Xenopus tropicalis: one gene and its partners. The protein of the gene in region 1 interacts with the protein of each later gene in a pairwise test. Links are inferred from orthologs where the notes say so. Each region holds a gene or a part of one and is shown on either strand. Other genes may lie near its edges.

Evidence for each region.
Region 2: the proteins of exosc8 (region 1) and slain1 interact in binary tests that used the Homo sapiens proteins (3 or more experiments, as listed by UniProt). The link is inferred for Xenopus tropicalis from reciprocal best matches to the Homo sapiens genes EXOSC8 and SLAIN1.
Region 3: the proteins of exosc8 (region 1) and txndc17 interact in binary tests that used the Homo sapiens proteins (3 or more experiments, as listed by UniProt). The two-hybrid records come from large-scale screens. The link is inferred for Xenopus tropicalis from reciprocal best matches to the Homo sapiens genes EXOSC8 and TXNDC17.

Annotation. Positions count from the first base shown.
Region 1 is NC_030678.2:151,682,889-151,686,642, forward strand, and holds the start of exosc8 (exosome complex component RRP43), read right to left. Parts: upstream 2,276-3,754; 5' UTR 2,220-2,275; coding exon 2,203-2,219; intron 684-2,202; coding exon 647-683; intron 355-646; coding exon 291-354; intron 1-290. Other genes in the region: alg5 (dolichyl-phosphate beta-glucosyltransferase precursor), read left to right, coding at 2,846-2,911. UniProt on the Homo sapiens protein: Non-catalytic component of the RNA exosome complex which has 3'->5' exoribonuclease activity and participates in a multitude of cellular RNA processing and degradation events.
Region 2 is NC_030678.2:125,991,430-125,995,183, forward strand, and holds the start of slain1 (SLAIN motif-containing protein 1), read right to left. Parts: upstream 2,501-3,754; 5' UTR 2,349-2,500; coding exon 1,858-2,348; intron 1-1,857. UniProt on the Homo sapiens protein: Microtubule plus-end tracking protein that might be involved in the regulation of cytoplasmic microtubule dynamics, microtubule organization and microtubule elongation.
Region 3 is NC_030678.2:48,982,166-48,985,919, forward strand, and holds the start of txndc17 (thioredoxin domain-containing protein 17), read right to left. Parts: upstream 2,783-3,754; 5' UTR 2,623-2,782; coding exon 2,478-2,622; intron 1-2,477. UniProt on the Homo sapiens protein: Disulfide reductase. May participate in various redox reactions through the reversible oxidation of its active center dithiol to a disulfide and catalyze dithiol-disulfide exchange reactions. Modulates TNF-alpha signaling and NF-kappa-B activation.

The DNA of each region.
Region 1 (3,754 bases):
CCCTACAAATTTGAGAGCAATTTCATAATTATCATGGTGGGTAAACCTGCTTTCAAGTAAGGCCTTCAAATGAGCAAATGTTTTCAGCCAATCAGCTGGTGGGAAAGATTGGTTCATCCAATGGTTTGGCCAAGGTCTGTTTTCAGCAGTTTTACTGGAGGCCATGGTAAGGTGGGTAGATTTAATTAAGAGCACAATGAGACATTGGTGATGACAGATCCATGAACAATGCACGTTATTATAGCCAGCCTGAAAATAAAGATTGTTTTTTTAACATAAATTCTACTTACCAACATTTATGGTCGTTGTCCTAAACTCAGTGAGTTCTCGACCGTCCGGCCGACAAGCCTCCTTCTGTAAAACCAACACAATAAAGCAATGCTCTAAAGATGCCAATATATGTGCCAATGGGACACTCCGGCAGCACCAGGATCCCTGCTGTGAGGCATTTACTGTTCCAAGTCAATGGGAGGTGAAAGTGGATGCTGAATATGCAAGTTAATTATGGAGGAATCATTGCTTGGCTCTGAATGTACATTGGACAGGGATCTATTATTCTAAACCCAGAGCTGATTTCTGAGTCCAGTATAGGCACTGTATGGCTGGTAGTGCCCCAGTAGGCCTGTGTTAGTGTGCATATACCTACCAGGAATTTTCTGTAATACTCTAAAGGTTCCACCGTCCTGTGAGGGAGAAGAAGGGAGAAAAATAAGATATTTTAGGCAATTTTTTTCCACACAAGTCAATTTGTGTTTCTCTAACCCAGGGATCCCCAACCTTTCTTATTTGTGAGCCACAGTCAAATGTAAAAAGACTTGGAGAGCAACACAAGCATCATAAAAGTTCATGGAGGAGCCAAATAAGGGCTGTGATTGGCTATTAGGTGCCTCTATGCACACTATCAGCTTACAGGGGGCTTTATTTGGTAGTAAATCTTGTTTTTATTCAACCAAAACTTGCCCCCAAGTCAGGAATTCAAAAATAACTACCTGGTTTGGGGGCACTGAGAGCAACATCCAAGGGGTTGGTGAGCAACATGTTGCCCCCGAGCCACTGGTTGTGGATCACTGCTCTAACCCTATGTTTGCCTGCTGCCTAAAATACAAGTTAGACCTAACACGTAAGTTGCTCAATAAATACACGGACACCCAGTTCACTGTACCATAAACTGTCTCCTGGAAACCATAGGGTCCAAGCACAGAGACACATGTAAAGTTATGTAATAAAATTATCAAAACATGCACCCAGTTACGTAAACCACAGAAACCCATAAACAGTACGCATTTACACCTGTTTGAAAGTCAACGCCTGATTGGCAGTTGTAGGGTACTAGACCCCTTGCAGCCGCTGCACTGATGCACAGTGTGTATGGACCAGACAGCCCAGAGGTGTTCAGTTAATATAAACTGTTTAATTAGTACAGAGTCCAACAGGAGGCCCACGGGGTTCATGTAGCCCCTCCCATGACCCTGGCAACCAGAGAACATACAACTTTTCAAGACGAAGAGAGAGTCGTAGAAGGACAAATCATTCAGATGCAACCCAATTAATTTACTGGGGAGAAACAGCTCCCCGAGGATAAAAACATCTCATTATACTTAAGTTTAATTTTAAGGAGAACTTTCCCTTTAAAATAAGACAAAACTTTGTTTTGGACACATCAGGCTGCAACATACAACAAAACTGCTGCTTTAGGGCGTAGCACATAGGGCTTCCAGTGACAGAACAAGGCTGCAGTTGATATTCTGGGAGTTGCAGTCCGACAACACCTTTATGGCTAATGGCTGCCCACCGCTGCCTAATGCCACCAACAGCATCTCTGTAAAACGCTGATACTTATGGGATCATCATTAGCCTCTCCCATTACATTCCCACATAATGAGCCCCTGGGAATACATCACCCAACTCAAGGTGGAGAATACTCATAGCCTTAAAGGAACCATAGATCTGCACTACAACTCATGGGACTGATTTACAAAAATAGGTAAAGTACATTAGTGCAATAGGCTCCTAGCAGCCAATCACATTGTTGCTTTCAAGGCTAATTGCTGACTGGTTGCTATTGGTAACTGCACATGTGCTACATTTGCCCTGCATATAACTGGCACCCACTCCCTAAGCCCAGGAGATTCCTTATCTGCCGCTGCCCCGGTCCCTGCCCGTTTATCCTGGTAACTAGCCTGATACGTAGGAGCCACTCACTTGAAACCAGCCGCCATGTTGCAGGCCTCAGCGCGGAGCCCCTGTAACCTCCTTGTACCCAACTTCAACAACCGGCTCCCTGTCTGCCAATGGGCAGCCCCGGCTCAGCCACACGTGTTGCCTATAAACACCGGGCTACTATACTTCCTATGTAGCGCCAGGCAAGCCCCTATGCCTACCTGCCCCCTGCCGGCACAATGCCAGAACTACACTGTTAGGCAGCTCACTAGCGCACATGGAAGTAGCTCAACCTTATTTCATTTAGCGCCTTTTAAATACGCATTGAATTCATAGATATTCCTTAATGTGCGCTGCAATGCAGCTGCTGTCCTCCCATACCGAGCCGAAGGGCGTCAAACTACAATTTCTTAGGAAAAAGCTACTGTTCGCGCAGTACAGTCTATTCACCAGGCGATGGCGCTGTGCGGAGGCGGCTCAGCTGCGGAGCTTCCCTTCGCTTCTCTCGCTCGCAATAAGTTCCTGTCTAGTAACATAGAAACACTTCCGCATAGGTGTAGCAGTGCCATAGGTTCCGGCAGATGCAGTCAGTGGACTTACCGCAGACCGGAAAGGGCTCAGCCGTGGCTTTGGGCTACGACTCTTCTCCCCAGAGCGCTGTGCCAGGGATGCTGCTGCCGCCGCCATGCATTGCTGTCTGTGTGAGATCCTGCTGCTCCTGGCTGGCCTGGCAGCTCTTCTATTAACTCTTGTAAGTGCCTTCTGCTTCCTGCACTTCTATGTGCCTGGGAAATGGGGCTGCTCCTTCATCTGCTTCAGCTCTACTTTCCCCCCTAAAAGTCCCAGCCCCCCCGTCTGTTTTCAGCTTTATGCAAACTGGCCCATAGATCAACATGAACCCTACACTCAGGCCCTTCTGAGGGGTGACATTGTGCAACAGTTGTTAGATATTTCTGTATAAATATGGCTATACAACCTGTGGCCCTTCACTGTTGATGAGCTGGTAGTCAAAGGCTGTTAGGAGGAGACTGGAGGTTGTATTTTAAAGGGGTTCAAGTTACTTTTTAGTATGTTAAAGAATAGCCCATGTTAGCAACTTTTCAGTTGGTCTTCATTATTTATAGTTTTTGGATAATTCACCTTCTTCTTTTGACACTTTTAAGCTTGCAAATGGGGATCACTGACCGTCAGCAGCAAAAAACTATTACTCTGTGAGGCTACAATGTTTTGTTATTGTCATTTTGCTATTCAGGTGTTTGCCTGTTAACACCAGAAAAGAGTTTTAAAGTAATAAAAATATAATGCACTGTTGCCCTGCACTGGTAAAAGTTGTGTGTTTGCTACAGTAACACTACTATAGTTTATATAAATAAGCTGCTGTGTAGCCACGGGGGCAGCCATTCAAGCTGGAAAAAAGGAGAAAAGGCACAGGTTACATAGCAGATAACAGATAAGTTCTGTAGAATACAATAGTGTTTTATCTGTTATCTGCTATGTGCCTGTGCCTTTTCTCCTTTGAATGGCTGCCCCCATGGCTACACAGCTGCATTCTTTATATAAACCATAGTAGTGTTTCTGAGGCACACACCAGTTG
Region 2 (3,754 bases), about 26 Mb from region 1:
GCTGTATTAAAAGGGGTATAGATTCACGGGAGGAGGGGGTTATTCTTCCCCTTTACAGAGCGCTGGTAAGGCCCCATCTAGAATATGCTGTTCAGTTTTGGTCTCCAGTGCTCAAACGGGACATTATTGAGTTAGAGAGGGTCCAGAGAAGGGCAACTAAGCTGGTAAAGGGTATGGAAAGTTTCAGTTATGAAGAAAGACTGGCCAAGTTGGGTCTGTTTACACTGGAGAAGAGGCGCTTAAGAGGTGACATGATAACTATGTATAAATATATAAGGGGATCATATAATAACCTTTCTAATGTTTTATTTACCAGTAGGTCCTTCCAACGGACACGAGGGCACCCACTCCGTTTAGAAGAAGGGAGGTTCCATTTAAATATTCGGAAAGGATTTTTTACAGTGAGAGCTGTGAAGTTCTGGAATTCCCTCCCCGAATCAGTTGTGCTGGCTGATACATTACATAACTTAAAGAAGGGGCTGGATGGATTCTTAGCAAGTGAGGGAATACAGGGTTATGGGAGATAGCTCTTAGTACTAGTTGATCCAGGGATTGGTCCGATTGCCATCTTGGAGTCAGGAAGGAATTGTTTCCCCTCTGCGGCAAATTAGAGAGGCTTCAGATGGGTTTTTTGCCTTCCTCTGGATAAACTAGTAGTTAGGCAGGTTATACAGTATATAGGGCATTATGGTTGAACTTGATGGACGTATGTCTTTTTTCAACCCAACTTACTATGTTACTATGTCAATTAAATAGTTGAATTTGATGCAAATTTGTTCATTTTTGACAAATTAGACTGAAGAACACTTAGGGCTATTGCAGGAAATTGTTTTGCTACCTAAGCAATTCTAAGCTCAACAGGTGGGTAATAATACACTTGTACTGACCCCACCCCCTGGGTGAGCTTTCCCCTAGATGTGCTTGTGGTTCCAAGTTGAAATACAGTTTCATTCACTCAGCTGTACAGAAGATACAAGTCTGTGCTTTTCATTACATGAAAAAATGTGTGATCTATATAAAGATGTTACAGATTGGCCTTTGTGGTGAGGGCTTCTGTCTTCCAGGTTCCCGCTTGAGCATGTGCTTTGATGATGCTCTGTATAAATCAGGTGAGGGATATATTTAGCTATCATGAGACTACTTTACCACACACTCCACACACACTTTGCCAATAAACTTAATATCAGTATTTTCCAAAAGATTATTTGTTACTTATAGATACTGTATATATCACTTATTACAAAAGGATTAAAACAATTGCAAAGAAAAGCAAGCATTTCTCTTCTGATCCTACAGAGTATTGAAATGCAGAGATGGCATGGTGCAAACTAAAACAGCCCTCTGTCCTTCAATTTAACCTGCCCTAAAATATTACCTGATGCCAAGATCCTCACCATTAATTAAAAAATCACAAAGGCATTTGGCAAGTGAGAGTTGAATATAAACTCAATCTCAAGTGCTGAAGCAGTTAATAAATAAATGATGGCAGCTCTGTAAGATTTAGGCTGAGATAAAAGCAAATCCTATTGCCTAAAGCAGATTGTATTACTATTCCCAATCACTGAGGAATAACAAGCTAAAACCTCTTTGGCAAATATGTAGTTTTCCTATTGGAGTGAATGCTCCTGCATGCCTTCATATACTTTTAATCTTTCTTCCCATACCCAGTAGTACCATACAAAACAGTTCCCCACCCAGTCCAACGACTGCTAACTAATCTGAATGTAAATCAGCACACCCATAACCAAGTATAGAGCTGTTTAAAGGTACAAATTTAAATGTAGTGAATGCAATGTATACAAAGCTTATCATTTGTTCTCAACTTCAGAGCCTTCCAAACCCCCAGTATATCATTACCAGGTATCCTCATCGCCACTGCAATACCCGTCTTCCAAATCCAGAACCTGCACCTCATCCAGTAGGGTAGATCCTGGAACTGGGCAGTCATTTTGGGGCCCCTCTGCAGCATTGATGCAGGACAAATGCAGCCTTTTGTTGGTACTAAAACAGCCCATGGATTCTGGGGAAAACAGGCTGCCGGCCACTGCTGAAGTGCACAGCAAGGTGGGCACGGGACTGGGAAGGCAGAGCCCTGCGGGCCGTGTGAGCACAGGGGAAGAGAGGATGCATGTCCCTGACTGATGCACCACAGAAGGAGGATGCTGCAGCAGCAGGTGTGGGCTTGGCGTACAGTTGCTCACTGCACTGGCTCGGTTCCTCAGCTGCTCATTCTGCTTCTCCAGCTTCCTCACCAGCTCTTGCAGCTTCTTCACCTCCAGCTCTGCATTCGCCACCAGCCCATTAGTAGTGGGAGACCCAGTGCTGCTGCTGCACTTTACCTCTGCCATGGCTCACACTGCTGCAGCGTTCTATAGCCAGTGTCTCAAATCCCCAGCGGCCTTAATTTGTAATTCCACCTAGGGGGTAATGTTCCAGGATGCTGCCCTGGCTGATAAATCCAGGTACCTGCAGTCAGGATCTCTGATAGCTCCCATACAGCAGGGACAGGGGCTGCATCTTGCTCAGATCTCACTGAATGTGCCTCCTGTCAGCAGTGGGAATATTAATGTGTGCACCAGGCTCCCTCCCACAAATGCAAAGCGAGGGAGGAAGAGACACATTGGGAACAAAGAGAAGCCAGTCTCCATGCATTGCACAAGCTGCTCCTATCCTGAATCTATTATGCTTAATGAAGAGCTGTCATTTTATTTTAATGTGAAAAGCTTGCATTTTTATTAGCCAATAAATGTTATCAAATGATCACAAAAATTTTTTTTGTCTTTTTTAAACTGTGGCTACTGGCTAGCGAAGGGGAGTGATATGTTCATATTACAGCCATGTACAAGTTGCTGTGCTGATCTACAGAAAACAAGCAGATGTAGTTAATTGATTAAAGGAGATAAAGATAATTGAATGTTAAACACACAGCAAAAATACAGAAAAAATACAGGAGGAGAATACAGAAGTGAGGGGGTGGGGAAGGGTGAAATTCATTTACAAGGACATGACTTAAGGTTTACAGGTCCAGGCAGAAAAATATCAAGAAATGCACCACTTCTTACATACATATTTTGATTTTAATGTATGTTAGAAGTCAAGAGTGACACATGTCCACTTAATAATTATTATTTTTCAGGGATTTGCACAGATTGTACATCAGATTAGAAACCAATCAATCTGTTATATTAAATAAGGAAGGCTGTAACCAGTAAGACTAAGACCATGTAGGTTTAAGTATTCAAATCCAGAATGTACATATAGCCTGTGCAGCAGGTGACTTGCCAGGACACAGGTATCCTTATTCACTCAGACTACCAATTCATTATATTGTTTGGAAAAAATATTGTGTATAGGGGACAGACATTCTTAACCTAAATCTACATGTTTTTGCAAAAACTGCATAATTTTTTACATATAAAAAGCAAAAACCAAAGCCAAAGTAGTTGTAATGCAGAAGTAGTGTGTTTATATATGTATATATTGGTGCAGAGAGGAGCACAACCCTAAAAACGGAGATCTGGTGCTGGTCAAAATAAACAAAATATAGAGACAGAGTATTATTTCAGAAATAAAAACTTTTTTTCTGTATATTAAGTCCCAGCATGTACTGTATGGTACTCAGTCTCTCTCTCTCTCTCTCTCTCTATATATATATAGCACAAAAATATTTGCATCTGCAAATGAAATGTAGCCATTGAATAGGCTAAAAGTTCTCATGACCTCTCATCCCCTGTAAAGTTTATAGTGTTCAGCT
Region 3 (3,754 bases), about 100 Mb from region 1:
CAGCGGTGCCAGTATAATCAATGTAGAAATGGCCAGTGGCCACCAGCCAGCGTCACAAAAGGGGCAGGGCTTCCGGGCACGGGCCTATAAATAGAAAAGCCGGAGAAGAGCCGCCGGCAGTGTAAGGCTGCGGGCAGGGAGGGCGAGTGGAAGTGCTCAGCCCACAGGTGATGTGCCAAGGTCGGCCCAAACCTGCCCGACCCGTGGGTTAACCCGCAGGTCCCATGGGTATCGGGCTGGCCCACACATCACTACTACCTACACTTGCACAAGCAGAATACCAATAACAAAGTCTTCTTTATTTTGCTGCTTGGCACTCTCTCTCTCTCTCCAGGATGGCTGTGCATTCTACAGTGGAACACATGGCCACCTTGAATTTTTTTTTCTTTTTTTCTGAAAAGCAGGGATTGCAGCGGTGGGTAAAGAGGGCAGATGTACTGGCATGCGGGTAGGGCACAGTGGCCCCCCAACAGATGCCCCATTTGCCCATTTAGTAAGGCAGCCCTGACCTTTGAACTGCACTGCTGTGTTAAGTCACTGCATTATGCGATTCTCTGGACCAAGCAATTGTCAATATGTTACATACTGTATATCTGTTTGTTTGTTTTTTTATCCCTGTTGTTTGTTTACATAATTGCAAATAAAAATTGAATTTCTGGAAACAAAATCTCACCTGTCATGTTTATCTTAAGGATAAGGTACACTAAATGATAATGAAATAAGATTTATATGAGACTTTATGGTAACATTCATCATTAAAGATCCCTCTGACCAAGGATGTGCTGTTGGAGGGCACTGGGAGATTTAATTAACCAACAGCAGGAGATAAAGCAGAATGCACAAGTATAAACAAAACAGACCCTTTAACTGGTAAGAGGCTCAGAAAGTACATAGGGTCCAGTGTGGCACTGACTAATAAGTACTATAAATATATGTTTATACAAAAGCCTTATTCCCAAAATTTAGGAGAGCCCAGTAACTGATAAAAAGAGGCATAGTGCACAATCCCATAATTGTGCACTATGCTTATCCAAAATACACACATGTATAACACATGGTACAGTTGCTACCTTTCAACTAATCTATATAAATGATTTGTCACTAAAGCCTAGGTTCATGCTCAGAGTGCTAACTAGTTTCACTGCAGTTCCAAGGCATGGACTGGAACAATATGAACTTTGGTCAATGCATTTTCTAATGCTGTAACATTATTTTTGGAGCAATTTCTTACAAATACATTCCCTACAAATAGATGGTACACTGACCTGTTCTGGCGCCACTCTGTACCTGTACCACACCAATCTGTGTGCCAAGTCTACTGTTAAACTACAATCTATGGCAAAACAGTTGGAGCTTCTTTAATTGTAATATATAATAATGAAAAGGCAGCAGTGGTTGGGGCTGGAGGAGGACAAGACAATGTGCAATTACTGAGACTTATTTACTAGATTTATGTTTACAAACATATATAAAATAAAAGCACAATGTGCCGTAATTTTATCAAAATTAGTGCTAGAACCCCTGTTAGAATATAAGTGACTTGTCATAGTCAAGTGGCAACAACAGCAAAAATGTACAACTATGGAAGGGCTCAGGGGTTCAGCCACTCCAAGGGGTATTCTTAGCTGCTTTTCAGTTTTTTTTTTTAATTTTAGTTTTGTAATTATTTGCCTTGCCTCTTTCCAGGTTGCAAAGGTCCCCATATTGCTTAGAAATCTCTGTCACCTTAGAAGTGGTGACCACAGAGTAGAACAATACGTGCGCTATGCAAATCTGAACAAATATCATTTGCAGTGCTGATTGTTACATAGCAGGTAACAAAAAAGCTCTGTAGCAGATAAGCTCTGTAAAATACAATGGTGTTTTACAGACCTTATCTATTATTTTACCTGTGTCATTTAGCCCAATTTCAGTTTGAATGGCTGCCCTCTGGCTACACAGCAGCTTTATTTATATAAACTATAGTAGTATTTCCAAAGTAAACACACAACTGCAAATGCAGGCCAAGAATCAGCCCCAATGTTGGTACCAGCTGTTGACGCGGCGGATATCAGCTGTGAAATTCAAACTCTTGCTCTTTTTTTGCTGATATCCCTTGGGTCTGTCTGCACCCAGGCACAGACAATGATTCCGGGTGCAGGCAAGGTAGTAAGCTAGTGCCAATATAGGGGCTGATTCTCAGCCTGCGTTTTCCCAATGGCAAATGTTTTACATTTTGCTATAACTGATTGAAACAGTACTTATTAAGACCGACATTAAACCCATATTGCAAACACAGATCAATTTTAATCCCTCATAAAGCTGCAGTGATGCCCACCAAAACTAAGTGGCAATCCCATAATGCCCCTCTCCCCCACACAAAAAGGAAAAGCACTGCTATGCCTAATGCTCAGTCTAGTCATGTGACACAGCAGAAGTAAATCACAAGAATCTCAGTTTAGCTCATGGCCGGAATATATCCCTCATGTCTCCCGTACCTTTCACACAGTCAGGGCACCAGCTCACCCCCTGCTCGTTCTTATTCCCCGAGAAATAAGCAAACACTTGCTTTCCCTTGTGTTTCTTTAGCGCCTCGCAGAACTCCTCATATCCCTGCACTTTCACCTCAGTGCAAGCAGCCATCACCGTGTATGTGCGGTACTGTGTATGTGCAATCCGACTCTCCCTGCACAACCAGCAAATCCACGTGAACTTGGATCCACTTCCTGTTTGACTTCATAAAGGGCCAGTTCCAACAGGCAACCCAAAGCTTTCGGAATATTGAAGGAACGGGTTTTTAAATATAATGTGTCTAACAGGTACCCGTAACCGAGTGATGAGTAGCTAAGTGACAACGGGTCGAAAAGCGTGCCTGCCTGAGACCATGGCATTATGGTAGTTGTGGAATGTGGGCACATTTACTAACAAAAATACTGTTATCAATACAATAATAATACAAAAAAGTTAGTAGTTTAATAAAAATCTGTTACACGATACACTTTTAGTTATGGCCAGAATCAAAGATGGCTACCTTAGGTTTCCAGTGCCCAGCCCCTTGCTATTCTTATTCCCGCCTCAGTGGTGACATTCCCCGCTGCTCAGTTCTGAGATCTATTTTTTTTGGTCCTTCTCGCAATCAGTACATCGCTTATTGTGCTTTGCACAGCTGTTGTCATGGCGGTGTTTTGAAATTGTACCTGCAGAACGGTATGGAATGCGCGTTACACCGTGTAACACATCGGGGCGCCGGGATCGCAGGTGATTGAAGGCATTTTCATTCTCTGTGAAGCTAATAGACTTGCTAAATAGACAGAGAAAGGTTTTATTTTAGTTTTTATAAGGTCACCCACAGTGAACTTGCCCTGCTGTAATACTACTTTTAAATTCCTTTGGTCGCAGCGACCTGTTAAATAAGCTTCTCTAATAGACTTGCGATTGTTTTATCAGTCTATACCAAATACTTGCCGAGTATACATTGCAAGTCTTTTTGTCATGCCAAGGTTAAGTGTAAGGGTTAATATTTAACCCCTATCAGTTAAGATACATTGCTGTATCAGTAATTCAGGTTTAGGGCTCGCGAGTCTTTTTCGGCGATTTACGCAAAATCGCGACGCCGCGTCTGCCATCCCGCAGGCGACTTACATGTTCGCCGGTGGGATGGCAGGGGTAGGCAACTTGGGGAGATTAGTCGCCCGCGAACAGGGAGTTTTGCCGCGGGCGACTAATCTCCCCGTGTGCCAGAGCCCTTAGGGCAGTGGCACACAGAGAGATTAGT